Macaca mulatta: one gene and its partners. The protein of the gene in region 2 binds, or shares a complex with, the protein of the main gene of each other region. Links are inferred from orthologs where the notes say so. Each region holds a gene or a part of one and is shown on either strand. Other genes may lie near its edges.

Region 1 (5,554 bases), on a different chromosome or scaffold from region 2:
AAGACTATATCCATGTATGATGTCAAAGGGTAGCAAACAAAAAGTAATTCAATTTTAACATAAAATTTCCACTAAACAGAGCAACCTTGAAAACATCTCTTATCTTCACTTTTTCATGCTTTTTCATTTGTAAAATGAAGATACCAAAAAAGAACTAGCAGCTCTAAAATTATAGATTATATATTCAGATTTGCTGGGATGCCCTTGGGAGGCTTTGTCCATCACCTTCTTCCCTTCTTCTCCTTTGCCCACCTGCCACAATTTCTCTTGGTTAAATGTCACAGTTTTGGTGAGCTACTGTTACTGATGGGAATCCATCAAGTGTATAAGGGGAAGGCTAGGTTGAGAATCTCTGGCCTATGTTATCACTATCATCCTTTCCATGTCCAAAATACTGTGAATCTATGAAATGCACCTCAGTTCACTAGCAAATCACTATATTTTAACATTGCTTAAGTTACTGCTATCCTGAGTTTACTTACCCCAACTAAACATTAATTTTTTATTGTACTGTGAGTCAGGGACTATGGCAGACACTGAGAATTCAAAGATGAATTTAGAAATGGTCTCTTCCCTCAAGGAGTTCCATCCAATAGGGAGACAAATGCAACAGAGTGTGATAAATGCTTTAATGGGGCCAAAGCAGCAAGTCAATTTAAAGCATATCAAAGGGTACCAAAGCAGCCTGGGAGAGAGGTGATCTGGAAAATCTCCCAGTAGGTGACCAAAAACTGAGTCCTAACTCTAATTAATTGAATTATAGACTGCTAAAGCTGCACAGTGTTAGAATCATCTAATTCAAACTCCTGATGTGGCACAGAGAGAATCTGATGTCCAAAGAGGCTCATATATGCAGAGTGAGTATCAGAGTTACAACTGGGACCCAGATATGTAATACTGGGCTGCCTCTTTTAAAATGCACCTTTTTTTGCAGGGAAATTTTTAGAACCTTTTCTTTCATCAGTTTAATAATGAAAGTAATCAATTAATCATATTTTAATAAGGTACAGAGAACAATTATTTATTTATATTGACTTTATGCTCAGTGGTGATGCCAATAACCCATCATCTCTTGGTTATAGATTTTCATGAGCTGCTGGTGAATTTTTTCAGACCTATCCACAGGGTAACCCTGTTTGCCTCCTGAGCTACTCCATGGGCGTAATCACACTCAGAAGGACAAGTAGAGTTTGGTTGTGAACAAGAACAAACTTTAAGAATAAATCTTAGTCCGATTAGCACCTCCTCTCAACAACTGACTGAGGCATCTAAGGGCTAGGGTAAAAACCAAACATTGAAATATTTTTATTAGTAGTAGTAGTGGTAGTATATAAAATGACTCAAGTATGCAATCTTCTTGGAGTTTTTGCTCCTAATGTAGTCACTTGGTTTGGGATGTTTAATGACTGTGATTTTGTAATGGGACAATATAAGAGCACATCACATTAAAACATAAATACTTGGGAAGCCCATAGTTTCTGATAGCTTGCCATCTGTTTGGTTCTTACCGGCAATGGATTTATCCTGCTTAGTGCAGATGATGATATTGTGGGTAAGATCATGGATTATACAATGGATTTCTGAGGTCTTTAACTACTGTTATTAATTTTGCCAGCTTGCAAATCAACATTTTCTAATATAAAATCAATTACATTTTATTTTTCAACTCTTATCCTAAGAAAGGTTGCTATGGGCACCACATAACATCTGCTCTGGCGCCAACAGATTGCGTAAAGTCACCCACAGTCTCTTCAAATTAAAAACCTCAAACTGAGTTCACTGGCTTTGTCACTGTACTCCCAGCAGGATGCTCTTTTGCCTTGCCCCACCGTTCAGTTTAATCCTCTAGAAAGAAAATTTTTAGAGGTACATCGGACTAAATCATTTTTCTTCTGAGCACACAATTTCCAAATGGCCGCCCAGGGTCCTAAATCCGGCGGCTGCGGAGAGGGACTAGCGGGTGTCCTCCTCTGCAGAGCCGTGGGACTCGAGCGCCTTCATCACTGGACGTTGGAAGCCAGGAAGGAAACCCATACACTCAGGGACAGGTATAACCCCGCGCGGGTGCACCAGCGAGGCCCGGATCGCAGCAGAGGTCTCCATCCCTGAGCTTGGTGGGGGCGTCCTGGGGAGGAAGAGAACACTTTCCCCATTCGGGTCAGAGAGCAGGACTGACTGGGTCGCAGGTCAGAAGTTGAATTTTAACCCGACCTGCGCTTTGTCCCCGCGCCTTCCGCAGCCCGGGCGCCGCGGTGGCACAGAGCTGGGAGAGGACGAGAGAGGCTGGCGCGGGAGAAGCCGAGAGTTGCTACCGACTGGGAGCTGCCGGCGGCGGGAGCAGACGCGACCCTCGCCGCTTTCGAACGCGAAGCCGGGGAGAGCCGAACTCGGCTGCTGGGGCTCGGCTCCCCGCGCTCTGCCTTGCCCTTTCGGCGGAGGGCAGCTACCTGCCTGCTGCAGCCCCGCCACTGTGCGCCCGGCCGCCCCGGGGTGCGCCCAGCCCGCCCCCCGAGCGGCCGCCCTGACTCCAGCAGTTGGACCGACCCTCGCCCTCCGGCGCCTGGACAAACTTCCTTCCTCCCGCGCCCCCGCGCCGAGCAGGCTGACAGGCGGCTCCCTCGCCGGTCTCCTCTGGGCTCCGGCCGGGCGAGCTTGCTCTCTGCCCCTCTCCAACCCCGAGCCCCTGGCGCCTAGCCGTCCCCAAGCAGCCGCTCCAACAAAGCCAGAGGCCCGGAGACGACCCGGCGAGGGACTGGGAGTGGCAGCGGGGACCCTAGAGCCAGAAGGAGGAGTCCCCTCGGCGGGGCGAGTACAGTGGGAAGGGGCAGCGGGGATGTAGCGGGGAGAGAGAAGGGAAGAAAGTGTCCTGCTCTAGGCGCGAACGTCTTCCTGGCTCGTCCTCGCTCCCCTTCTCCCCCGGCCCGAGCGCGTCCCGTGTCCCGGTGGGAATTGGCAGGCGGGGGAGGGCGGAGGGGAGAGGGGACGCGGTGGCCTGGCTAGCGAGCCGCTCCCTTACCTCTGTCCAGGGTGAGCGGCTGGACCACTGTCAATGTCGCCATGTCTGCCGTGGGAGCCGAAGTGACGCTCGGCTTCAGCATCAGCAACCGCTCGTAGTGAGAAAAAAAGGAGGAGATTGGGGGCGGGGGTGGAGAGGGAAGACGGAAAGGAGGGGGAGGAGGGGGAAGAAAGAAGGTGGTGGTGGTGGAGAAGAAAGCTTGGGTGGGTTGGTAGCCAGATGGAGAGGCAACTGTTCCGCGGCGGCAGATCTTTCAGTTGCGGTGCGGAGCTGAGCAGGTATCCGAGAGCGACTGCATCGCCGGGCTCTGGGAGGGAAGGCTCTGCCCTGGAACTTTGCTATTCCACCCCCAGGAGCACTGGGTGGGTGTAGCTGGCGGACTGCTTTCTTTCAACTTTCCACTCTAATAAAATGGTCAGAATATACGTGTGTGCATGCGTGTGCGTGTGTGTCAGGGGAAGAGAGAGGATAGAAAGGGGATATGGGGGAGGGAGTGGGAGATGAGTTTTCTCAGATTAAGAGAAATTGCCAATCCAATAATCCCATCTCCTTTAGAGAGAAAATGCTTCAGTGTCAGAAATGTTTGGGATGCAATTACATTTGCAGTTAATTTCTGTTGAAGTTTTTCGGAATGTTGACCTATAACGGCATATAAAGATAACTGACTAAAGGCCAGAGTTCCATCAGTAGATGTTCATTTAGGATCTGAGTATATTGCCTGGAAAAAAAAAATATAGCAAACCTCTTAGAAGTGCTTCAAAATAAAAAGCATGGGGGTAAGTTTCTATCCCTAAGTTTTCTTTTCTTTTTCAAGCCACTGTTAATACATTACCAATTCAGTAAATGTAGCTCAGAAACAAGTAGAGTGTTCAGATTTTCTCCAAATTTTTTACATACCACGTCTTGTAAACATGTCCCACTCCCGCCCAGCCACTCAACAAAAACTTTGCTCTTAATGTCCAAACTGATTTTGGTTGTCTATCACTTAGTTTGAAAAATATGTGCCTAGCACTTTTCATGTTGATTTCTAACCAGTGGGTCAGAGATGTCACTTATTGATTAACAAATATGCCAGGAATTGAGATAGAAGAGTTACATTGCCTTGTGCCACGCCTTGATTTAGGAGTTCAATTTAGTCTCTGACTTCCTGTAGCCTGTAATCTAGTGGGAGATGGTGTTATTAAAAGCTTGACTTTAGAGCCAGTTGATCAGGATTAAATTACAAGAGCCTTCAAATACTGACTGTGACCTCTTCGCCCCAATAAAAAGGCTACTTTCACTATCTTGTCATAGTAGGGATTCATTTCCTGACATAAAGAAACCTTCTATAAGCTGAATAGGGGTGACTGTGGGTGCAGGATTGGAAATGACAAAGCTGCCTCCATCTTGTTCCCTGTGACAGAGCTGAATTGTTTGGGCTAGCAATAAACTCTAAAAGGCAGATACAGTTTTATAGCAAAATATTTGCATATAATTGATGCCATTTTCTTCTGATTACAGATATGGTTTCTGAAGGTCTTTTTCATTTTATAGTCTACAATTGAATTTTAAAAAGCAACATTTCACCAATGTGGGAAAGCCAAAGATGATTGGCCATATATAGACTTAACAGACCCTAAAAACAAACCTAAAATAGTAGTTCAATATGCTTATTTTTATTTAGTATTTAAGGAAGAATGCTGGTCTTGACATTTGAGTCTTAGTTATGTGCTCTTCAGAAGTCACACAATTTCTCACTGATCCTGTTTCCTCCTCTGTCATACGGTGAAAATATTATTCAACCTCAAAGAGATTCTGTCATATGAGGAAACAAATTCTACCTTGCAATCTCACTGAGATTTGTGAGGGACTAATGGACTCATACATGTGATTGTGCTTTGAAAACAGTAAAGAATATACAAATTTATTTGTACAAGCATACATCCCCTGGAGCCATGTGGTAAGCTCTGTGCTAGGTGCTAACCATGCAAAGATTGAGTCGGCCCACTCTGCCCAGTCTTGCTTGAGAGATGGTGAGCAAACCATAAACTTCTGTGCGGTAAGTACTCTAAGCATTATTGAAAGGAGGTGCTCTTGGAGGCCAGAGGTTGAAAAAGCAACTTTGGTTTGTTACCATTATTCACATTCCCTGAATTAAGCAACAGAAAGAAGTTGAGATGAGCTCAATGATACCAGAGTGTGTTCTAAGCTTTTGCATAAAATTATTAAACCTCACTCAGTAACTGAGGATAAAAGAACATACAGATCCCTTGACTTCTAATGTAGTTATTTTACAACATCCTTTATTAGGGAATATGTATTTAAGCAGCTTGATTCATCAGCCCAAAAGTCATAAATTGTACCTGTTCCAACACAAATCCCTGATTGTGGTGTCAATGAAGGTAGAGTTTTTTTGTCTTTTTGTTTCCTGATGCATCCTCAGGACCAAACATTTCATAGCGTATTTCTGGACTTATGCCTTGAGCTTCCTATTTGAAAATTTGCTCTGTCATTCTTTCTCTGTGTTGACTCTGTAGGGTTGTTGTTGCTGTTTTTAAA
Region 2 (5,873 bases):
CTTACTTATTTTTGCAATCGTCTCTCTCTTTTATTCACCTGCACTTTCTTTTCTGTTTTACTTTATAATTGTCCTTTTCTACCTCGGAGCATAGGTCCCTGTGGAAGATAAGAAACCCCAAAATGAAGTCGACAAGTGTTGGTATAGCTCAGTCTTGGGCTGGGGAAAAGAAGTGAAGCTGACAAGGTGACTTGAGAGGGTCCTTGTGCACTTCAGGGCAGAATGGAGTGACGCCTTATTCATTAGACATGAGCTGGACATGCCAACTTGTGGTGAGTTACTCTTGGACCCTTAAAGGAGGCAATGTTTCTCAAGTTCTAAAGCCCCCATCTCTAGAGAATGCACAAGCTCTTTGAGAAAGGAGGAAAACCGTGTGCAATTACACTTGTCCTCTGGTCTGCTTTTTTTTTTTTTTTTTTTTTAAAGGTTTAGTACCCAAATCCTTAGCAGGCAAATCTCTCAGCCTTTTGAGGGAGTGGTCAAGGGTTTGCACGAAACGTTTCTGAAGAGAAAATAGGCTGTGAGTCTCCACATCACCCCCTCCACTTTGGTATTAATAAATACTTTTTTAAAAAAATTACCACACTGAGAAATTTACCAGACGATTTCTGGAAACTGACTTATGAACTAATTGGGCACTTTTGCTATGCGGAGGAACAAAGACTCTATTGGTCTTCAACTGAGGCATATACCTGTCTGATGGCGTTGGCTCATTCCGCACATGCTCAGTTGAACAGAAATCTTCATATTGAATGCAACCTAGCACAGCGGCAACACCCAGAACCTCACTCCCTGGCTGCTCCTGTGCCTGCACTGCCTCTAGTTGCATTTTGTTCCTGACAAGTCTAACATGTATAGGGAGTATACAGAGCAGTGTAGGTGCTGGGAGTTTGAGGGCAATATACAAAGGAGCTTAAAGTCGCGGTTTGTCCCTGTCTTCCTGGCTTCTCTCTAGGTTGGTCTCTAGTGAGGGTAGGCGCTGGATAGGTATTTGTTGAGTTTGGGGCAGAACGTGGGAGAAGCTGTCTCTATAGATGACCGTTTGCTGTCGCACACCTTCCTAGGCAGTTTTTGTTTAGTCCTTTTCTCGGACGACCTCCCCTTGCCCCCAGCCCTCATCTTCATTAAGGAATGACAGGGTAGCACTAAAAGCATCCGCTGCCAAGCACGGATTCAGTGACAACCTCTCTCCACCTCTCTTTTAGCTTTCTCATTCATTAGCACCCTATCCCTGCCTCTTTTCCCAGCAAAAAGCTGGGAAAGGCTCCCTGCGATTACAAAAGAAGGAAAGGGGAGCGGCCAGAGTTTCGAGCCTCTTGCGGGACAACGAGCGTACAGCCGTGGACCTTTTGTCTCCAGCCCCTTTCGCGGCTTGGTCGCCGCTAGGCGCGGAGGCGACGACCCCAACCAGCCCCGCCTCGGCAGCTGCAGCCGGCGCGCCCCGCTCAACCCCCCGCGCCCTCTAGAATCCCGGTGCCCGCCCGTTTGCCGTGACGCGGCCCGCGCCGCGCGCATGCGCCGCTCAGCCCGCTCCCCTTTCCCTGGGCCACCGCCTCCCGACGGGCTAGAGTGGGCGGAGTCTGTGGTTCTGGAAGCCGCGCCGCCGACGGGGGAGGAGGGCGTGTCTGCGCGAGGCGGGTGCGCGGGGCTGGCTAGCCGGTCGGCTGCTGAGGCGGAGGGGCGGAGCAGAAGGCGGCGGCCGCGGCTCCCGCCCGCACAGAGCGCCAGTCCCGCGAAGCCCCCTCCCACTCCCGGGCGGGCGGTGGCGGCTGCGGGAGGAGGAGAAGTAGGAGGGAGCGTCTCTGCCACCGCCTCCTGGTCCCCAGCGCCGATCCGCCGCCGCCACCTCCCTCCGCGGCGATCCTCCCTCCATGGTCCTGCCGCGGCCCCCTCTATAGCCCGAGCTGCTCCGCGACGCGACGGAGCCGGCCTCGGACAGAGGGAGCGGTCGCGGCCTCGCGGCCCGCGCGGGCTGACGAGCGGAGAGCGCGACGCCGCGCGGTCCCCGAGGATCCGCACGCCGGGCAGCGCGGCCCGAGCAGCGCGAGGAGCAGCGGGCGGGCGGGCGGCGCCGGGCCCGGGCCGCCCTCGCTCCCACGCCCCGGCCCCGCCGCCCGCGCCGGGGCGGTCGCCTGCAGAGGAAGGCGCCGCAGTCTCTGGGCCTCGCGGCACCACTCGAGCGTCCTCGGCACCGAGGGCTCGCGGGTCCTGAGGGGAGGAGGCGATCCCGGGGCTGGGCACTGAGCTCTTGGGCGCCCCCACCCCCGTTTTCGAAGCCCTCCACGCTGCGGCCGCTATCCCCTCCGGACCATGGCCGACGACGACGTGCTGTTCGAGGATGTGTACGAGCTGTGCGAGGTGATCGGAAAGTGAGTCTCCACGCGAGGGAGCGGGAGTGTGGAAAAATGCATTTCAGTGATGCCCCGGTCTTCCCGCACCCGCTCCGGGCCTGCCCCCTGCCCTCTCTCCTTCCCCTCTTCCCCTCTTCCCCTCTCGTCCTTCTCATCTTGGAGTATTTATAGACGTGTACCTGGAGCTCCTGCCAGGCGGGGGCCTGGGGGTTCTCAGCGGTCCATTGAGGCCACCGAGCCGAGGCTGGCCACCCCGTAAGGCGTGGGGCCGGCTGCCTGCATTTTATCTGACGGTTGCACAGGGACGTGGCACAGCCGATTTTATAGTTGCTTCAGTTGGGGTTTTTGTTACCTTGCATGTGCCATAGACCATTTTTGAAAAGAGCAGCTTGCATTTCCTTTGCTTGTGTGGTGAGAGAGAGAGTGAGTCCAGGGTTTTAATTGTGGGGTGTGTGTCTATTGTGCGGGATATTAGACAGATGCCTTTGTGTACACCCCATGCCCGGATTGGAGGGGATCATTTAAGACCGGGTGCGTTCAGTTTCAGCACATTCCCTCCTGGTGTACATGAACGTGGAAAGAGTTGGGGGCATTCGAATTTTTAATGCTTCGTTATGCAATGACTGTTCAATCAGTGCTCGAGGCTCCCCTCGACTGTTGTTGGGATGGTGGTTAGCGTGGTAGAGCCGTCTGCTTTGAGTCACCGGGCTGGTCTAGAATATAGAACTGACAGTCCAAATGCTCATCCTTTCATCTGTGTTGTATAATTACGCTGGGGAAAAGCAGGGAATCAGATTAATCACAGTGCTGATTGAGAATTAAATCTGCAGTTCCTCATCTAATTGTCCATTCCTTAAATCTATTTTGAATAGTTTCCTTTTCATTCTTGTCAAACAGTATTCCAAGTGCACAATCCTGCTAATTTGCTTGTGAAGGAAATGCTGGCAATCTGAAGTTGATTTCCTAACACAGCGTGTATTCTGTGGCTTTAGAAGTTGAGGAGATAAGATTTAAGAGCAAATTTTTGCTTAATAAGGATCGCTAGAGCTACCATTGAAATATCTTACCTCTTTTTTTTTTTTTTTTTTTTGGAAGCGGTGCTTTATTGTCTATTTTAAGGTCCACAGTTGGGAAATGAAACCAAGACCTTAGAGCAGTTGGCCCTATCTCTTTTAAGTTGTCTGCAGTACACGATTTCAATTTGAGTGCTAATTTGTTTCCTTTTCTTTCCATATTGAGGTATTACAGTGTTGCCTCACATGGTGAAATTGTGGGTAGAGCTTGCTACACACTTTACTCAGACCCAATTGATATGAGGACATGTTACTCCTTGCCCTATTGTTACATGACCAGCCAGACTGTTAAAAGGAAAGTATCCAAATGTGTCCTGTTAAAGTGGTTGTGAAGTGTTCTAGAACAGCACTGTCCAAAAGATATATTATGAGCCACATTTGTAATTTAAAATTTTCTAGTAGCCACATTTAATAAAAACATACAGGTGCAATTAATTTTACTAAAATATTTTATTTAACCCTGTAGATCCAAACTTAACACTTAAACATGTAATCAGTATGAAAAAATATTAATGAAGTATTTTACATCTTTTATGCTAAGTCTTTGAAATCCCAATGTGTATTTTACACTAACAGCACATCTCAATTCTGACACTAAGCTACATTTCTGATAAAAATCAGAAATACTTAATCTGTATTTAGGTTTCATAAAATGTGCATTTACAAAAGTAGATTCACATACCCAAGTTACCCAATATACATACCCAATATACATAAAAGTTTTCCAATAACTGAATCAAGTACGTTTTTCTAAATTTAAATTTTAATTAATTAAAATTAAATAAAATTCAAAATTCAGTTTCCCAGTTGGACCAGCCACGTTTCAGGTGCCTAGTAGCCACATGTGAATAGCACAGTTCTAGAGAGAAAAATGTATCAAAAATCTCCTTGGTTTCCTCATTCTTAGCAGCACCCAGTGAAGATAAATTAGGTGTTTCCCAAGAGCCTCCAAATGACCGTATGTGTGGGTGAATTACGTTTGTTGCATCTTAGTTATAGCTGATGTAAACGAACTAACAAAGTCATAATTGGAAAATGTGAGATTAAAATGTTAATTATATTGTGAAGATGGAAAATAGCCATCACTGAATCAGTTTTGGTAACCAGTTCTGATTCCTTAAGGTCTGGAAGGGCGATGATGTGATCTCTTTGGATATCAAAAAGAAATGGTCAGAATCACATTAACACAGTCAGTATTCCGCTGATTTGTAATTGATAGAATATTTTCAGGAAACACCCCTGGGAGAAGAAAATTCATCTTTTCTGGCTGTTTCAGAGCTGCATAAAGAGGGGCAGCAAGCTAATTTTGAGGTGATAGGTACTCTGTGGCTACCTTAACTACTATGAACTGTGAAATCTCATTCATATTTGAAACCAATTCAAATATGTGCCAATTATAAAATGCCATTACGTGAAATAATGAATTCAAGCTAGCCTTATTGTTAAATAATGTAATAATAGTGTTCCTCAACCTGAGTAAAGGTTGAAGGTTTCTCCAGTAAATTGCCTTAGTATATATTGATCTGGAAATTGAAATTAGCTTGAGATTTTCTTGCAGGGACCTTGACAGCATACATTTTTAACTTAGAATTTGTTCACCTCTGAATTTGAACAGAAAGCCCTTGAAGATGTTCGCATGTGCTGAAAACCTTTTTATTGATTTCTATTCAAGTTCTATGGAATTTTGTTTTCTTTTTCACCAAATTAGTATCACAAGTTGTTTTTCACCACTAGATCTTAATAGGTTTAAATTTTTACTAAGGTACTTTAAAATAGATTTCACTTTTCAAGACTAATTGACCTCCCACTCACTCCTCTACCTACGCAACCACCTACTCACTTACCTCTGTGTACTTGGCCTTAATTGATGGCATAAATGAAAGTTCTCGTCTAATTTAGACCCTTCAGTGTGCTTTTTTTTCCCGTTGGTTGAGAAAGACAACTTCTAGAGTTAATGAGGTTTTGAAATATAAGATCATTATTTGGAATATGTTTTCTTTCCAGTGGCTGCAGCCTTTACCCTTGTTAAAGCTGTCTTTGAGGGAACATGTGCCCAATTTGTTACAAATATTGGAAGGATGTCGTTTCCCTTTTTAAAAATTAAAACTCTTTTCCCTGTGTTTCTCATTTTTGAAAATCTTGCAGAAACTCCTTTGAATGCTTGTTGGTTCTATAACATTTTCTACGTAACTATCTTTCAAATGACTGAAACAAATCTCCAATAATACGACCTTATCGTAGTCCCAAAACTTCTTGTCTTAGCAAATGTAGCAATTACTGGAAAGGAAAGGCGTTATGCAAATAAGGTTAATGACTAATTTTTATGTCATGATCATTTACTGTATCTTTTACAAGTATAAGTAAGTGTACAACCGGTAATACTACATGAAGGAAATTTAAGACAATTCATCCAAATTAAAACATAGAAAAATGCCTACTTTCTTGGTAC
Region 3 (5,094 bases), on a different chromosome or scaffold from region 2:
GTGTGTGTGTGTGTCAGTCTTGCTGTGTCACCCAGGCTGTGGTGTGTGTGTGTGTGTGTGTGTGTCAGTCTTGCTGTGTCACCCAGGCTGTGGCATGATCTCAGCTCACTGCAACCTCTGCCTCCTGGGTTCAAGTGATTCTCGTGCCTCAGCCTCCTGAATAGCTGGGATTACAGGCACGCACCACCACACTCGGCTAATTTTTGTGTTTTTAGTAGAGACAGGGTTTTGCCATGTTGGCCAGCCTGGTCTCAAACTCCTGGCCTCAAGTATCCACCCACCTCAGCCTCCCAAAGTGTTAGGATGGCAGGCGTGAGCCGCTGCGCCCGGCCTCATGATTTTGATTTCTATTCCTCTGATGACTAAAGAGGTTGAGCACTTTTACTGATACCTGTTGGCCATCTGTATGTCTTCTTTGGATAAATATCTATTCCAGTCCTTTGCCCGTTTTTAAAATGGATTGTTTGGTATTTTGCTAATGAGTTTCTTATATATTTTGGATATTAACCCCTTATCAACTGCATGGTTTAGAAATATTTTCTCCTCTTCCATAGGTTGCCTTTTCATTTTGTTGATTGTTCCTTTGCTGTGTAGATTTTTTATTTGATGTCCCACTTGATGATTTTTTTATTTTGCTGCTTGTACTTTCCAAAAATCATCCAAGACCAGTGTCAAGGAGCTTTTTTCCCTGTTTTCTTCTAGGAGTTTTATGGTTTCTGGTTTTACATTTAAGTATTTAATCTATTTCAAGTTAATTTTGTGTAAGATAAGGGTTTAATTTCATTCTCTTGCATGTGGATATCCAGATTTTCCAACACCATGTATTTAAAACACTAGCCTTTCCCCATTGTGTGTTCTTGGCCCCTTGTCAAAGATTAGTTGCCCTTTGATCCGTTTTGAAATACTATTTGTTTAAAAAAAAAAAAAGAGTAGGTAGCAATTCCCCAATATTCTTTTCTTACTCAGTTTGTCCTTTAACTGACTCCTCAAGTCTTTGGACATTTTTGTTGTTGTTACTTGTTTGTTTGAAATAATATCAGCCTAAATTTGACATTCACAGTGAGTATCAGTAAGGGTCATGGTTTTTGTAAGCCTTGTGCTTTCTTATTTTTTTCAAACTAATTTCAGACTTAAATAGAAGTTAGAAGAATAGTACAGGGAGTCTCATGTACCCTTCACCCAAATTCCTCAAGTGTTAACATTTTACCACATTTATAATTTTTTCTGAAGCACTTGAGGGTAAGTTTCAGGTAGATGCCCCTTTACTTCCAAATATTTCAGTGTGTATTTTCCAAAAAACAGGGATATGCCCTTATATAATCATAGTTTTATTACCAAAATCAGGAAATTTAATAATTATGTCTCATCTAACTATAGATCTTATTATTATTTCACTATTCTTCTAATCTCTTTAGAGCAAAATGGGAACAAAATGGTTTTTCTGTTCCAGTGCAAGATGCAGTTCAGGCTCACGTGTTCCAGTGAATTACACATCTTTAACGTTCTTTAATCTGAAATAGTTCCCAAGTCTTGTCACTCATGACCTTGACTGACATTTTTTAAGAGTAAAAACTAGGGGGGTTTTTTGTTGTTTTTTCTGTTTCGTTTGTTTTGTTTTGTTTTTTGAGCCAGGGTCTCACTCTGTCGCCCAGGCTGGAGTGCAGTGGTGCAATCTCAGTTCACCGGAGCCTCCACCTCCCAGGCTCAAGTGATCCTCCTACCTCCGCCTCCCAAGGAGCTGGGACTACAGGCTGCAGCCAACATGCCCGGCTAATTTTTGTATTTTTTGTAGAGACAGGATTCCGCCATGTTGCCCAGGCTGGTCTGTAACTCCTCTGATCCGCCCACCTTCACCTTGGCCTCCCGCAGTGGTGGGATTACAGGCGTGAGCCACCGCACCTGGCCCAGGCTGGTCTGTGACTCCTCTGATCCGCCCACCTTCACCTTGGCCTCCCGTGGTGGTGGGATTACAGGCGTGAGCCACTGCACCTGGCCCAGGCTGGTCTGTAACTCCTCTGATCCGCCCACCTTCACCTTGGCCTCCCACAGTGGTGGATTACAGGCGTGAGCCACTGCACGTGGCCCAGGCTGGTCTGTAACTCCTCTGATCCGCCCACCTTCACCTTGGCCTCCCACAGTGGTGGATTACAGGCGTGAGCCACTGCACCTGGCCCAGGCTGGTCTGTAACTCCTCTGATCCGCCCACCTTCACCTTGGCCTCCCACAGTGGTGGATTACAGGCGTGAGCCACTGCACCTGGCCCAGGCTGGTCTGTAACTCCTCTGATCCGCCCACCTTCACCTTGGCCTCCCACAGTGGTGGATTACAGGCGTGAGCCACTGCACCTGGCCCAGGCTGGTCTGTAACTCCTCTGATCCGCCCACCTTCACCTTGGCCTCCCGCAGTGGTGGATTACAGGCGTGAGCCACCGCACCTGGCCAGAGACCCACTCTTTTATAAAATGTCCTCCCTCAATTTGGATTTATCTGACGTTTTCTCATAATTAGATTTAGGTTGTGCATTTGGGGCAGGAATAGCAGTGAAGTAATGATGTATCCTCTGTGTGTCATACAAGGAGGTTTACGGTCTGCTTGTGCCGTTGCTTGTTATGCTAATTTTAATCACATGGTTAAGGTGTCTGCAGCCTTATGCTCTCCCAGTTTCTTCCCAAGGAGTATCCTGGTTTACTAACCATGCCATTCATGAATTTACAAAGTAAGCAAAATATATATTTCCCAAGTCAATTCCTGACTCTTTTCTCCTAAAATAAATCCTTGCGTGCTGTTGTCAACCTAAACTATGAAATGCTCTGGGATTCTGTCCTGTGCTGTTGGAGTGCATCAAGATGCCAAACCCACAAACCAAGTATTTTGTCAATTGAACTGAGTCTTCAGGGACACTGAGGCATGTCTGTATTTAGTTCAAAAGGTAGAAGTCTCACAAAACTGATACTAGCGAATATTATGTTACTTAAAATTCTTGTTTACTCAGGCATTCCTAGCTACGTATAAGCCCTTCTTACCTATATATAACTTCTTTCTTCTATGCACATAATCTCGGGTACCAAATAGACAGTATTATTTAAAACCTCCCTTCGACATTTTATGCTCAGTTTTTCAGACCATGGAAATCTACACCTATGATGCTCTTCCAAGATCACTGGGGATTTTTTTGTAGTTTAATAAGTGACTTATTTAATTTGCAATTCTGAATTATTTCATTTATATGTAAACTTCTTTTGTGAGAAACAGGGTTTCACTTTGTCACCCAGGCAAATGGTACGATCCAATGGTACGATCATAGCTCACTGCAGATGTGAACTCTGGGCTCGAGAAATCGTCCTGCTCCCTCAGCCTCCCGCGTAGCCAGGACCACAGGCACACACCACCATGCCCGGCTCATTTTTTTTTTTTTTTTTTTTTTTTGGACACAGTGTCTCACTATGTTCCCCAGGCTGATCTCAAACTCCTAGCCTCAAGCAACCCTCCACTTCAGCCTCCCAAAGTGCTGGGATTGCAGGCATGAGCCACCATGCCCAGCCATAAACATTTTCTTTCCTCTTAAAAAGTGACTCATGCTTAGTGCTGTCTAGCGATACTTTGTTTTTGTTTGTTTGCTTGCTTGCTTTGTTAACTGACCCTCATCCCTCACAGACCTCAGGGGCTTCAGCTATTTCCAAAGAATTACTTATTAGTAATTGTTACTCTTTTTTTCACACATTATTTCAGGCAGCAAATAAACATTGATTGTTAAGTCTCTAAACACTAACAAGCTGGCTGAGGTAATTCACCTACTCTACAGTAACTGACGTGCCAGCTTAACTGAAACAAGTAGCATCAATCTGTAGCCAGCTCTTTTCTGCCACGATCCTACCCCAAAAAAATAAAACAAAACATTATCCTGCATCATCCTGTCTGTGGGATTGTAGCCAGTTTCCTTTGTCCTACATGGTGATGGAGAAATCAGGACAGTTAAGAAAATAATTTGTTTTAAAATAATAAAGCTAATATATGCTCAGATGGTAAAAGAACAAAAGATCACCAAATCTTACTTTTTGATCCATTTTTAAGATAAAAATTGTATACTGTACAGGTAGGAAAATTAATGAAGTGAGCCGTTTTTTCTAAGTGAACAGTGCGTAAATGGTGATTCTTCCTGGATGAGTAACTTTCTCAAAGATATTCGTTTCTGCTATTTCACCAATAATTGTAATGACAAAATAGACAATTAATGGAGATTTCTGATTTTGTTTCTATCGTTACAGCTATTGTACAGGGAGATACGCTGGAAGACATTTACAACCAAGTGAAACAGATCATAGAAGAACAGTCTGGTTCTTACATCTGGGTTCCAGCAAAAGAAAAGTTATGAAAACTCATGTTTCTCTATTTCTCTTTTCCACAATTCCATTTTCTTTGACATCTCTTTGCCCTTTCCTCTGGAGTCTTTTTTCAATAATGATTTCATGTTGAATTATATCCCACATCATGGTCTGCAGGTGCGCTTATTTTTTTACATGTAGTGTCTCCTTCAAGTTACATCATGTGTATTATTTAATGTCACTATTGGTTAGTGGCCATTTTTCACAACTGAAGATGGAATGGCCTGACCAGCTATTAAGAATTTGGGGAGACGCAGAAATTGTGGTAAAATTCCTTAATGTTTAAGGGAAAGTAACTTTAAGAGATTTTTGGAAAAGCTTTATATACATTCTTTTCAAATTTCAGTACAAATGAAAAAGTGGTTTTAATCAGTGATTTAGTAGACTTTGAGCAACTATGCACGCTTAAGTTTAATAGCATGGTTTGGCCAGTGTGTTACTCTCAAGTCCTGTTCTCAGTCAGCTTCTATCATCAAAGCAATTGTTTCATTATAGATAAATAAGGAAGACATGTTTTAATTTAAAAATTCATGTCTGAGTTAACTTTCATAAGGGATTTCATTTTTCCTAAGCATTCTTAAAGTCTTTTATTATTTGAAGGTTCTTTTTTCCCAGTACATTTGCTAGGAATAACAACGTTTTAATGTTTTTAATCTACTTGAGCAACACTATCGTGTCTTACAAAAGTTGTTCATATGTAAATGATCATCACA
Region 4 (5,799 bases), on a different chromosome or scaffold from region 2:
CTGGGCTCAAACAGTCCTCTCGCTGCATGCAGCCTCCCAAAGTGCTAGGATTACAGGTGTGAGCCACTGCGCTCAGCCCAGTGATTTTTTTTTTTTTTTTTTTTTTTGAGACAGGGACTCACTCTTTCACCCAGGTATAGTGCAGTGGTGTGATCATAGCTCACTCCTGCCTCGACCTCCTGGGCCCAAGCGATCCTCTCACCTCAGTCTCCAGAGCAGCTAGGACTACAGGCACACGTCACCAGGCCCAGCTAATTTTTGTATTTTTTTGTAGAGATGGGGTTTCATCATGTTGTCCACGCTGGTCTTAAACTCCTGGGCTCAAGTGATCCTCCCACCTCAACCTCCCAAAGTGTTGGGATTATGTGCTGGGATTACAGGCCTGAGACACAGCGCCCGCTCTGCCCAGAGTTTTTTTTTTTTTTTTTTTTTTTTTTTTTGAGACAGAGTCTTGCTCTGTCGCCCAGGCTGGAGTGCAGTGGCCGGATCTCAGCTCACTGCAAGCTCCGCCTCCCGGGTTTACGCCATTCTCCTGCCTCAGCCTCCCGAGTAGCTGGGACTACAGGCGCCCGCCACCTCGCCCGGCTAGTTTTTTGTATTTTTAGTAGAGACGGGGTTTCACCGTGTTAGCCAGGATGGTCTCGATCTCCTGACCTTGTGATCCGCCCGTCTCGGCCTCCCAAAGTGCTGGGATTACAGGCTTGAGCCACCGCGCCTGGCCTTTTTTTTTTTTTTTTTTTTTTTTTTTTTTTTTTTTTTAAGCGATGGAGTCTCGTTCTGTCAGGCTGGAGTGCAGTTGCCATCTCGGCTCACTGCAACCTCCGCCTCCTGGGCTCAAGCAATTCTCCTGCCTCAGACTCTCGTGTGGCTGGGAGTACCGGCGCACACCACCATGCCGGCTATTTTTTTTTTTTTGTATTTTCGTAGAGACGGGGTTTCACCATGTTGTCCAAGCTGGTCTCGAACTTCTTTTTTTTTTTTTTTTTTTTTTTTTTTTTTGAGACGGAGTCTCGCTCTGCCGCCCAGGCTGGAGTGCAGTGGCCGGATGTCGGCTCACTGCAAGCTCCGCCTCCCGGGTTTACGCCATTCTCCTGCCTCAGCCTCCCGAGTAGCTGGGACTACAGGCGCCCGCCACCTCGCCCGGCTAGTTTTTTGTATTTTTTTAGTAGAGACGGGGTTTCACCGTGTTAGCCAGGATGGTCTCGATCTCCTGACCTCGTGATCCGCCCGTCTCGGCCTCCCAAAGTGCTGGGATTACAGGCTTGAGCCACCGCGCCCGGCCGGTCTCGAACTTCTGAGCTCAGGCTATCCGCCCCCCTCAGCCTCCCAAAGTGCTAGGATTACAGGCGTGAGCCAGCGCGTCCGGCCCCAGTGATCTTAAAATACAAATCTGAGACCCAACCTAGGCGACAGAGCGAGGCTCCGTCTCAATAATAATAATAATAATAATAATAATACAAATTTGAGTGTCATATTTTACTCTTAGGAGTTTGCATGAAGCCCCAAATCCTCAAGGCGCATATGCCAACGCAGGAGCCCAGGCATAAACTGTATCCTGCCGGCCTTTTCACCTCATCATCAACCAATCCTAACTCTGCTTCCAGCCCTGTGGACTCTTTCTGCGTGGTGGGGGTGACCCAAGCTCCACCTCTTGTTCATCTTACCTCCCAGGACTGTATGTCAATGTCCCTGCTCTAGGATCTCCTTCGTCTTCTAGATCCTTACCTCCCCACTCTCAGCTCTCATTACAGCCGTGGCTGGTGGTCTACCTCTCCCATAGACTGGAAGCTCCGTTTGGGCCGTGGGCTTGGCTGCCCTGCTCACCACAGTGTCCATGCCTTGGGCCCAGATGTTTCACAGGAGTTTGTTGAATGAATGTGGGAAAAGAATGGACAGGGGATAGACAGGTGTGGAGGGCAGGCAGACACTGATCCTGAAAGAGAAACACAGACCGAACCTACAACGGGAGGAGTCGCCAACAGGACCGACGGGCCGGGACGGAGGGCAGGGCCGCGGGTGGCGCGCGGCAGGGGGGTCGGGACAGTCCGGCGCGGGGGAGCTGGGCGCTCTCCAGGCTGCGCCTCCGCAGGGGGCGCCCGTGGCCCGGGGCGTGGCCTCGCGCAGCCCCGCCCTCCTCGCCCGCGCCGGGGCAGGCGGGCCGCTGGCAGCTGTGGCGCCGACATGGCTGCGCTGGTGGAGCCGCTGGGGCTGGAGCGGGGTAAGCGCGCGCCAGGGGGCCCTGCCCACCCGGGCCGCGGCCTGCATACCCAGCCCCCGGTCCCCGCCCTTCCCAGGCCAGGCCAGTGCGGGTGGGCCAGCGGACCCGGCGGGGTGGGCGGGGCGGGCGCCGGGGCCGGGCGGTCGCGGGGTGTGGGAGGCTCCCTGAGCCCAGGCCGGGGCGGGGGGCGCCCGCCTTACACCCCGGCCTGTGGAGGGGTCCTGGGGCTGCAGGGCGCCCGGCTGGTGGCGGTCTCTCCTGCGCCACCCTGGACTCTGCGGGGTGTCCGACTGGGCTTCGGCGGTCCTCCCTGGACTGTGCGCTCGGCCTCACTCCGCCGCTCTCCTTGCTTCTCTGCGTCTCGGGGTCTCTGCGCCCCGCCCCCGCCCCGCAGACGTGTCCCGGGCGGTTGAGCTCCTCGAGCGGCTCCAGCGCAGCGGGGAGCTGCCCCCGCAGAAGCTGCAGGCCCTCCAGCGAGTCCTGCAGAGCCGCTTCTGCTCCGCTATTCGAGAGGTGAGCGGCGCGCGGCGCAAGGGCGCGAGCTGGTGGCCGCCGTCCTCTTCCTCCTCCTCCTGCTAGTCCCGAGCCCGGGGACTACGCCTCCCGGCAGCTCCCGAGGCGGCCAGCCTTGGGGTGCCCACGCTTCAGCTCAGTGGTTCTTCGGGAGTTGTAGTTTCCTCCGGCTCCGGTTGCGGGGGCGGGGCGGATCCTTGCGTGGCAGCGGGAGAGGGTCTAGGGGCCCGGACTCCTGCGTCTAGGGCTGGAGGAACTGGCAGCTCCCTGATGCCGCTGCCTCCTCACCCAGGTGTATGAGCAGCTTTATGACACGCTGGACATCACTGGCAGCGCCGAAATCCGAGCCCATGCCACAGCCAAGGTGGGCCCCGCACCTCATTGCTCCTGGTGTCTATTTAACTGCCTGGTCGAGCTCAGTATCTCCTTCATGCCAGTCATTTCTGTTTCCTCCCTCATGATTTTTGCTAAATCTATGTGCCACTCTTACCATTATTAAATAATCGCACATTTTTAACTTAAATGTCATACGAAGGCGTCTTTAGCAACTGCAAATGGAAACCAGTGTGGCATGACTGGCTAGAAGATAACCTTCAACATCTGTACAGTGAAACCAGGGAAGTCATGGCGCTCTGATCTCTCACTGCACAATAGTGAGATGCTACCTCTTGCTGCTGCCCAGAGGCTCGGATCTCCCTCCAAGCCTGGCTTTCATCTGTTTAAAAGTAAGATTGCGGCCAGGCACGGTGACTCACGCCTATAATCCCAACACTTTGGGAGGCCGAGTCAGGTGGCTCACTTGAGGTCAGGAGTTCGAGACCAGCCTGGCCAACATGGTGAAACCCCATCTCTATAGAAATACAAAAAAAAAAAAAAGCCGATCGTGGTGGCGGGTGCCTGTAATCCCAGCTACTCGGGAGGCTGAGACAGGAGAATCGCTTGAACTCAGGAGGCCGAGGTTGCAGTGAGCCAAGATCATGCCACTGCACTCCAGCCTGGGCAACAGAGCGAGACTTCATCTCAAAAAAAAAAAAAAAAAAAAAGATTGGCAAGTATGGGGTATTCAAGACACACACCAAATGGACACTTTCTCTTGCAAGTGAACAGAAAGGGACGCACAGTCATTAAAGGGGGATCTTGCATTGTGCCATGGCACGTGTCCCATGTTTGGGGATAGTAACCCAGGCTAAATCGCTGTCCTCGGTTCAGATCCCCCACCCCAGCCTTCTTGCCCACCTGGCAGGGGCCCTCATCTTCAGTCGCTTTCTCTCTCCCAGGCCACAGTGGCTGCCTTCACAGCCAGCGAGGGCCACGCACATCCCAGGGTAGTGGAGCTACCCAAGACGGATGAGGGCCTGGGCTTCAACATCATGGGTGGCAAAGAGCAGAACTCGCCCATCTACATCTCCCGGGTCATCCCGGGGGGTGTGGCTGACCGCCATGGAGGCCTCAAGCGTGGGGACCAACTGTTGTCGGTGAACGGTGTGGTGAGTGGAGGGCTGAGGCAGGACTGCGGGACACAGTCTGTCTAAGGTAGCATAGCCCCTGCTTTTGACATTCACTCAACACACACTGACTGAGCTCTGCCTCTATGGCTAGCCCTGTGCTGGCCAGTGTTACAGACCCTGAGAGATGTTGGTCTCAGCTCCTACACTCAACCTTCCCTCTCTGGGGAGGGCAGTAGGCCTCGGCTGAAATAGTCCTAAGCCAGAGACATAATAATGAGGAACTGCAAAGTACTGTGACAGCCCAGATGTGGCACCTGGCCAACATACATACAGGAAAGTTTTGCAGAGTAAGGAACATTTGGGTTGGGTGTTGAAGGATGAGTAGGAGTTCTCCAGGCAAACAAGGTAAAGGGTGTTCCTGCTGAGGGTACTGTAGATAAGGATAAGGACTTGGCATACCTCTGAGCTGAAAAGAAAGGGCTTAGTTCTGAGGGAGGTCTGGGGCATGCAGGTAATTAAAATCACTGTGGTTAGGCAGGCTGTGGTGCCTCACACCTGTAATCCCAGCAATTTGGGAGGCCGAGGCAGGTGGATCACTTGAGGTCAGCAGTTCAAGACCAGCCTGGCCAACATCGTGAAACCCCGTCTCTACTGAAAGTACAAAAAATCAGCCGGGCGTGGTGGCAGTCATCTGTAATTCCTGCTACTTGGGAGGCTGAGGCAGGGGAATCACTTGAACCTGGGAGGCAGAGGTTGCAGTGAGCCGAGATAGTGCCACTGCATTCCAGCAAGGGTGACAAGAGTAAGACTCCCTCTCAAAAAAAAAAAAAAAAAAAAAAAAAAATCACTGTGGTTAGAGTTGAGGAAGGCATAACTGGAGAGGTGGCTGGGGTCAGCCATACAGGACCTGAGTGCCAGCCTGAGAAGCTGGGACTTTGTCCCATGGGTGCTGGGGAGCTATGGGAGGGGTGAGCCAGGGATAAGCTCAGCTTGCAGGTACAGAAGGACCCCTCTGGGACCCTATGGAGATGAACTGAGGGGAGAGACTAGAAGCCAGAAGGCTGGGCTAAGAGTCCAAGGAAAGGGGACAAGGCCTAAGCTGGCCCAGGGCTGTGGGGACAAAGAAGAGAGAGTCAAAGCAGGCAGGCATTAGTGGGCTGTGGGCAGGGAAGCCACAAAGATGGGTCTAGATGTTTGACCAGGGACTGAGGGAACATGGGGCTGTCCCTGACATGGGAAACCTGGGAGGTTTTGGAGGAGGACACTGAACCAGGAGTTAATGACTCTCCCACGAGGAGGACATGAGGTGTTGGCATCTCAGGGCTGGCACCAGGCTCACCAGCAGTGGGTCCCATCTCCCAGTGGGGGCTGGGTGAGGGCAGTGGGCCTCAGGCCCAGCTGTCTGTGTTGGGCCCTGCAGAGCGTTGAGGGTGAGCAGCATGAGAAGGCGGTGGAGCTGCTGAAGGCGGCCCAGGGCTCGGTGAAGCTGGTCGTCCGTTACACGCCGCGAGTGCTGGAGGAGATGGAGGCCCGGTTCGAGAAGATGCGCTCTGCCCGCCGGCGCCAGCAGCACCAAAGCTACTCGTGAGTCCCTGGGTCACCACATCTCTGGGGCCTCCA
Region 5 (5,568 bases), on a different chromosome or scaffold from region 2:
CTTTGCTTCCTTTTGACTTAAGTAGAAGATGTTTCTGATTTCATGTTATACTCAAGGACTAGAAATTTTTCTTTATATAGTATGGCCTTCTTCGTGTTTGCAGATAGAAAACTATGAATAAATGCAGTAAAGAAAGATATTTATTTATTTATTTATTTATTTGAGAGGGAGTCTCACTCTGTCACCCAGGCTGGAGTGCAGTCGCGCAATCTCCACTCACTGCAACCTCTGCCTCCCAGGTTCAAGAGAGTCTCTTGCCTCAGCCTCCTGAGTAGCTGGGATTACAGGGGTCCACCACCACGCTTGGCTAATTTTTGTATTTTTAGTAGAGACGGGGTTTCACCCTGTTGGTCAGGCTGGTCTCGAACTCCAGACCTCGTGATCCACCCACCTTGGCCTCCCGAAGTGCTGGGATTACAGGCGTGAGCCATCAAGCCCGGCTGAAAGATAATTTATTTATTTATTTATTTGAGACGGAGTCTCCCTCTATTGCTGAGGCTGGAGTGCAGTGGTATGATCTTGGCTCACTGCTACCTCCGCCTCCAGGGTTCAAGTGATTCTTGTGCCTCAGTCTCCCGAGTAGCTGGGACTACAGGTACCCGCCACCACGCCCACTTAATTTTTGTATTTTCAGTAGAGACAGGGTTTCACCATGTTGGCCAGGCTAGTCTCGAACTCCTGACCTCAATTGATCTGCTCGCCTCGGCCTCCCAAACTGCTGGGATTATAGGCATGAGCCACTGCGCCTGGCCAGAAAACAAATTTTTAAATTTGTGGTAAAGAAAGCTTAAACTTAAAAAGTTAATCAAATGCAATGGAAGCAAATAGACCTTCACCATTCTGATTTCCCATCACCAGAATGACTGATAAATGGGGACTGTTGGTTCATCAATTATTTTGATTTATAAAGTTATAATATGTAAGTCATATAAAAATTTCCAATGAAGAAAAAAAAAACGGAAAAAAATAAAATGCTTTTGACTAAATCTAAAATGTAGCTAACATGTGCTCAAATTTGTGTTTCATTAGATCATAGTTTGATGATTTAGAAGGCACTCTAAATCATATGTGATCAGGTGCTGTATTGTAGTTGTACTGTAGGATTTTCTGCTGTAAGATTGTTGGGAGTGTTTGTTAATAGAGTCTGTTAGAATTGTAAACAAGAATCAGAGGTGATGTAATCTGACTTTCTTACCCTGCTAAATGGCAACGACTAGTACAGCTGTCTCAGTAACTGTGGGGAATTCGTTAGGACCTTCTGCAGATACCACAGATATCAAGATCTGCAGATGTTCAAGTCTCCGATATAAAATGATGTAGTATTTGCATATAACCTTATGCATATCCCCCCTCCATACTTTAAATAATCTCTAGATTACTTACAATATCTGATGCTATGTAAATAGTTGTTATATCACATTGTTTAGGGAATAAGGACAAGAAAAAAATGTACATGTTCTATACAGACACGATTTTTTTCTCTGAGTATTTTCAATCTGCAGTTGGCTGAAACGTGGAACCCATGCATATAGAGGGCTAACTGTAATTCATCCTAAGGGGCTGAGCCTTCTACTGAAGAATGGAAAAGAAGTCTGTTAACAGCAAAAAACAAAGCCATGACTATCAAAACTAAATGCCACAGAAGTTCCACATTTTGTGTTGCATTTAAAAATACAAAGACTGGTCGGGTGCAGTGGCTCACGCCTATAATCCTAGCACTTTGGGAGGCCGAGGCGGGCGAACTGCCTGAGCTCAGGAGTTCGAGACCAGCCTGGGCAACACGGTGAAACCCCGTCTCTACTAAAATACAAAAAATAGCCGGGCGTGGTGGTGTGCGCCTGTAGTCCCAGCTACTCGGGAGACTGAGGCAGGATAATTGCTTGATCACGGAGGCGGAGGTTGCAGTAAGCCGAGATCGCACCACTGCACTCCAGTCTGGGCGACAAAGCAAGACTACGTCTCCAAACAGCAACAACAAAAACACAGAAGACCATCAATATGTTAGAATCTTAACAACTAGCTTTCAAAGAAGAAACCTACTCCTGTTAACACCAAACAGATTTGTTCCCATCCATAAAACACAGTGCTACTGTGCTCAAGAGGAAGATGTCACAGACTTAGGCCTAACTCAGCAAGTCTTCCCAGAGTAGCTAGTCCTCTAAAATGATGCTTTAATTGGCTTAAGGGTAAGAATCTCATTTACAGTGAGACTTCCAAATGGTGAACACAGTAAAGAGCAAATCAGCAACATTAAGTGCACATTTCTTTGTGGGAAGGCATTAGGAAAGAAGTTTTTCTAAGTACAGTAATTCTAAAAATGTGTTTTCTTAGGGAACAATAGTAGTATTTAGACTGTAACTGCAAATGTTAATATGTGCAATATAATTTCAGTCTCCATCCTATAATTTTTTTTTTTTCTTTAACCACAAGTACTCAAAATGTTTATTTGTACTTCTCAGCTCCTATCAATGATTTCTAATGCTGGTGCATGAAAAGCATGCTTGAAATTGTTTGAAATAAAGGATTAGGGACAGAGTGGAATGCTGGAAATCTGTAAAAGGACTGGAAACGCTGGAATGCTGGAAATCTGGTAGGCGCATAGCCAGTTATTTTCACAGGCTTCTCTAAAAAAAAATCACTCAGAAGAGGAGGTTTTATTTTCCTTGACAGTCTGCTCTAGGAAGCAATCAGCCAACCAGTTTGCAATTGTAGGGTTTGCAAGAAATGAAAAACACTGCACCTGCAAGCGTTTTAGCATCTACCACTATTCTGCTTACTTACGTAACCTCCTTCCCAAGACCAAGTGAGTAGGATTGTTTTAAAGCAACCTCTCCATTTCTAGGAGGGGCACAAAAGCTAGCAAATACCCCAACCCAAATACAAGCGATGTTGTGGAAAAAGTAATGAAGGAGTATGTGTGTAAACAAGGGGGAAGGGAGGTTCTATTGAATTGTACCGTGTGTGTTCTCATGTTGTACAGGCATTGAGTGTAGTCTGTGCGAACCGGGTGTGTGACGTTTGCTTTTCGGGTATATGGGTCTCTGAATGCTGCTTCTGCTGTGCCCACCAAGGGAGCGCGTGTGCGGCGTGTGTCTGCGAAGCGGGCAGGTTGTGTTTAGTTGTGCTGTGCTTCGGGACAGTCCGTGTGAACAGAGGAGAGCTTAGAGTAACAGTTGAAATACCGTAAGCGCCCTCACTAAAGCCAGGCACAGAACAACGGTGGCCTCTGGCGCCGGCACAAGGGATAGCCTGGCTCCGGATCTCAGGGCCTGGGTCACTCCTCCTCCCCTCCAGCGACACAGCACTCTCCCAACCCTTCCACCAACCTCGGCCGAGCCTCGGCTGCACTCACCCCTCTCCAGTCGCACGGGTTCCCCTAACGCCGCCATCTTCTCCCTAGCCCACAGACCCACAGGAAATGACGACAGAAGGGCTGAGGTGGAGGGGCGGGGTCTAGAGGAAGCCGGAAAAGTGAGTACCGGCTAGTATCGCGAGATCAGGAGGGTGGCCGAGGGTGTCGCCGGGGCCATCAGGGTAAGGGTACCTGGACTTGCGGCTTTTGAGGTTGGCCTGGCTCCGCTCCTTCCGCGGTGGCGAGGTTCCCCGGCCTCCTAGGGTTGGAAAGAGCTGCTTTCATGACTCTCGTTCCCTGCCTCGGGCTTCCCTTATCCGAATCGCTTCGAACCCTTGGCTCCACGTAGAGGAGTCAAGCCTGGATTCTAGTCCCACCTTGCCCATTAGCAGCTCTGTGATCTGGGACTGTTCTCTTACCCTCTCTCAGTCTCAGTTTCCGCCTCTGTACAACGAGAGGTCCTATCTCTTAGGTCCTTTCAATTTTTAAACTCTGGGATGTGGTGGCAATTAAATATGTAATGACATGTCAGTTCTCAGTTTGTGACAGCATTGCTTTAAATTTAAAAATCCACGGCTTGAATCTTCCCTCCAAATCTGTTTAAGGGTGGAAAGTACAAACAGCATGATAACATATCTGGGTGAGGGAGAGAACAAGGTGCTTTGGTGCACCACAAAGTAACAATTTTATAAGCAGCTGATTCTTATGAAATCTTAACTAAATTAAATATTGTGAAGCAAATAGTATTCTTAATGCATTACAGATTCTTTGAGCCACTCCTGAAATTTTCGCGAACCAAGAAGAATTTTAGTATTTGGATTTGACTAACATTTATCCAAGCCCTTAGTCTGTACTGATACTGTGGTAGGTGTGTTTACATCCAATATTTCAACACTTCATGATGCGACTGTTTTAATAACCTGGTTGCCGCTGGTCCACCCTTTCCATTCACCTTTAGTATTTTCTTCTCCAAATCCATCACGGATATCTGCCATCACTATGCTTCTTTTTTCTCCCCTTGAATTCTGATTTCATCATCACAAGATCTGTTCAGAAACTTTCAATAGTTCTCTCCTGTTTCTTATTTCTAAAGCCTTGCATACTCTGACCCCAACTCATCCAGCTAAGTTCATTTCTTATTACCGCTAAGTGCAACCACCACTTCAGTCCGGGTGGGATAGTTTCAACCATATTTATTCCTGGTTTCAAGTCTTTTTGTTTGTTTAGAGACAGAGTTTCTTTCTGTTGTCCAGACTGGAGTGCAGTGGTGCGATCACAGCTCAAGAGAGCCTCCTGTCTCAGCCTTGCCAGTAGTGAGGACTTCAGGCAAGCACCACCATGCCTGGCAAATTTTTAAATTTTTAGTAGAGATGGGGGGTCTTGCTATGTTGCCCAGGCTCAAACTCCTGAGCTCAAGCAGTCTTCCTGCTTTGGCCTCCCAAAGTGCTGGGATTACAGGTGTGGGCCACTGTGCCGGGCCCCAAATCTTCATTTATGTTGTTCTTGTGTGGAATGCCCTTCTTCATCCCCTCCTGTTCTCCAAACTTTGTAGACACTCAGTTGAACCCATTTCATGGGTCCCTGCTGAAGACATGCCACTTCTACCAAGCCTTTTCTCCATATTGTTCCACTTTTTTGTCCTCTGATGGCCTAAATACCCTGCAGTAACACTCAGGTGCTTATCTCTTACTCATTGTTGTCTTTTTTTTCTGCTGCAAATGTGCTCAAGAAATGTTTATTAAGCACCTAATATATACCAGGTGCCTTGATAGGAATACCAGGTAGAGCAAGACAAATGCAAACATTGCTCTTATTTCTTCAAATATTTTTTCTTTGCATTCTCTTGCTCCTCTCCACTGGTGACTATTGGAGTCGTGTGCATGTACATAGTATACATGTATATTGAGCTAACTGGCATTGTCTCACAGCTCAATGATGCTCTTCTTTTTTTCAAGGTTTTCTTTATGTTTCCTTTTGGATAATTGCTAGGTTTTCATGTTCATTAATCTTTTTTCAATATCTAATATTGAAATCCTGTCCAGTTCATTCTTCATATAAAACATTGTAGTTGTTGCTTCTACCAGTTTGATTTGGGTGTGGGTGTGTGTTTTACATCTTTTATATTTTAACATGCTCAATCTTTTCTGTAGCTTCTTAAACACATAGAATACAATTATAATGACAGTTTTAATGTCCTTGTCTACTAATTCTATGAT

Evidence for each region.
Region 1: CASK (region 2) and LIN7A share a complex: the UniProt entries of both Homo sapiens proteins name them as parts of the brain-specific heterotrimeric complex. The link is inferred for Macaca mulatta from reciprocal best matches to the Homo sapiens genes CASK and LIN7A.
Region 3: the proteins of CASK (region 2) and DLG1 are in contact, whole or in part, in an NMR structure (PDB 1RSO), measured with the Rattus norvegicus proteins. The link is inferred for Macaca mulatta from reciprocal best matches to the Homo sapiens genes CASK and DLG1. Residues at the interface, in XP_038955489.1 of Rattus norvegicus: Gly339, Ala342, Ala343, Arg345, Ala346, Val347, Gln349, Val350, Ser353, Leu354, Glu356, Ile357, Leu360, Thr361, Asp367, Leu368, Phe370, Leu371, Ser373, Val374, Phe375, Asp377, His379, Leu380, Thr382, Leu383, Leu384, Asp385, Leu386, Tyr387; in NP_036920.2 of Rattus norvegicus: Arg4, Asp7, Thr8, Arg10, Ala11, Leu12, Leu14, Leu15, Tyr18, Lys21, Leu22, Glu26, Asp27, Leu30, Ser33, Ile34, Arg36, Val37, Ser39, Ile40, Phe41, Ser43, Leu45, Phe46, Leu49, Ile50, Gln53, Glu57, Val58, Leu60.
Region 4: the proteins of CASK (region 2) and LIN7B are in contact, whole or in part, in an NMR structure (PDB 1Y74), measured with the Mus musculus proteins. The link is inferred for Macaca mulatta from reciprocal best matches to the Homo sapiens genes CASK and LIN7B. Residues at the interface, in NP_001271432.1 of Mus musculus: Ala405, Arg408, Ala409, Glu411, Val412, Glu415, Ile416, Tyr419, Glu421, Asn422, Asp424, Ala425, Glu427, Leu428, Ile431, Leu432, Gln434, Phe437, Ala439, Leu440, Leu441, Thr443, His444, Val447, Ala448; in NP_035828.1 of Mus musculus: Leu10, Asp13, Val14, Arg16, Ala17, Leu20, Leu21, Arg23, Leu24, Ser27, Glu29, Leu30, Pro31, Pro32, Lys34, Leu35, Ala37, Leu38, Val41, Leu42, Ser44, Phe46, Cys47, Ile50, Arg51, Tyr54.
Region 5: CASK (region 2) and LIN7C share a complex: the UniProt entries of both Homo sapiens proteins name them as parts of the brain-specific heterotrimeric complex. The link is inferred for Macaca mulatta from reciprocal best matches to the Homo sapiens genes CASK and LIN7C.

Annotation. Positions count from the first base shown.
Region 1 is NC_133416.1:88,057,489-88,063,042, forward strand, and holds the start of LIN7A (protein lin-7 homolog A), read right to left. Parts: upstream 3,311-5,554; 5' UTR 3,099-3,310; coding exon 3,017-3,098; intron 2,810-3,016; exon of another isoform or gene 2,695-2,809; coding exon of another isoform or gene 2,240-2,694; intron 2,096-2,239; coding exon of another isoform or gene 1,912-2,095; exon of another isoform or gene 1-1,911. Other genes in the region: uncharacterized protein LOC114670904, read left to right, coding at 1,912-2,095, 2,240-2,694. UniProt on the Homo sapiens protein: Plays a role in establishing and maintaining the asymmetric distribution of channels and receptors at the plasma membrane of polarized cells.
Region 2 is NC_133426.1:41,838,404-41,844,276, reverse strand, and holds the start of CASK (peripheral plasma membrane protein CASK), read left to right. Parts: upstream 1-2,268; 5' UTR 2,269-2,310; coding exon 2,311-2,369; intron 2,370-5,873. UniProt on the Homo sapiens protein: Multidomain scaffolding Mg(2+)-independent protein kinase that catalyzes the phosphotransfer from ATP to proteins such as NRXN1, and plays a role in synaptic transmembrane protein anchoring and ion channel trafficking.
Region 3 is NC_133407.1:2,598,590-2,603,683, reverse strand, and holds part of DLG1 (disks large homolog 1), read left to right. Parts: intron 1-4,264; coding exon 4,265-4,371; 3' UTR 4,372-5,094. UniProt on the Homo sapiens protein: Essential multidomain scaffolding protein required for normal development. Recruits channels, receptors and signaling molecules to discrete plasma membrane domains in polarized cells.
Region 4 is NC_133424.1:61,565,412-61,571,210, forward strand, and holds the start of LIN7B (protein lin-7 homolog B), read left to right. Parts: upstream 1-2,143; 5' UTR 2,144-2,181; coding exon 2,182-2,218; intron 2,219-2,612; coding exon 2,613-2,731; intron 2,732-3,023; coding exon 3,024-3,095; intron 3,096-4,008; coding exon 4,009-4,218; intron 4,219-5,599; coding exon 5,600-5,763; intron 5,764-5,799. UniProt on the Homo sapiens protein: Plays a role in establishing and maintaining the asymmetric distribution of channels and receptors at the plasma membrane of polarized cells.
Region 5 is NC_133419.1:37,775,982-37,781,549, reverse strand, and holds the start of LIN7C (protein lin-7 homolog C), read right to left. Parts: upstream 3,403-5,568; 5' UTR 3,390-3,402; coding exon 3,353-3,389; intron 1-3,352. UniProt on the Homo sapiens protein: Plays a role in establishing and maintaining the asymmetric distribution of channels and receptors at the plasma membrane of polarized cells.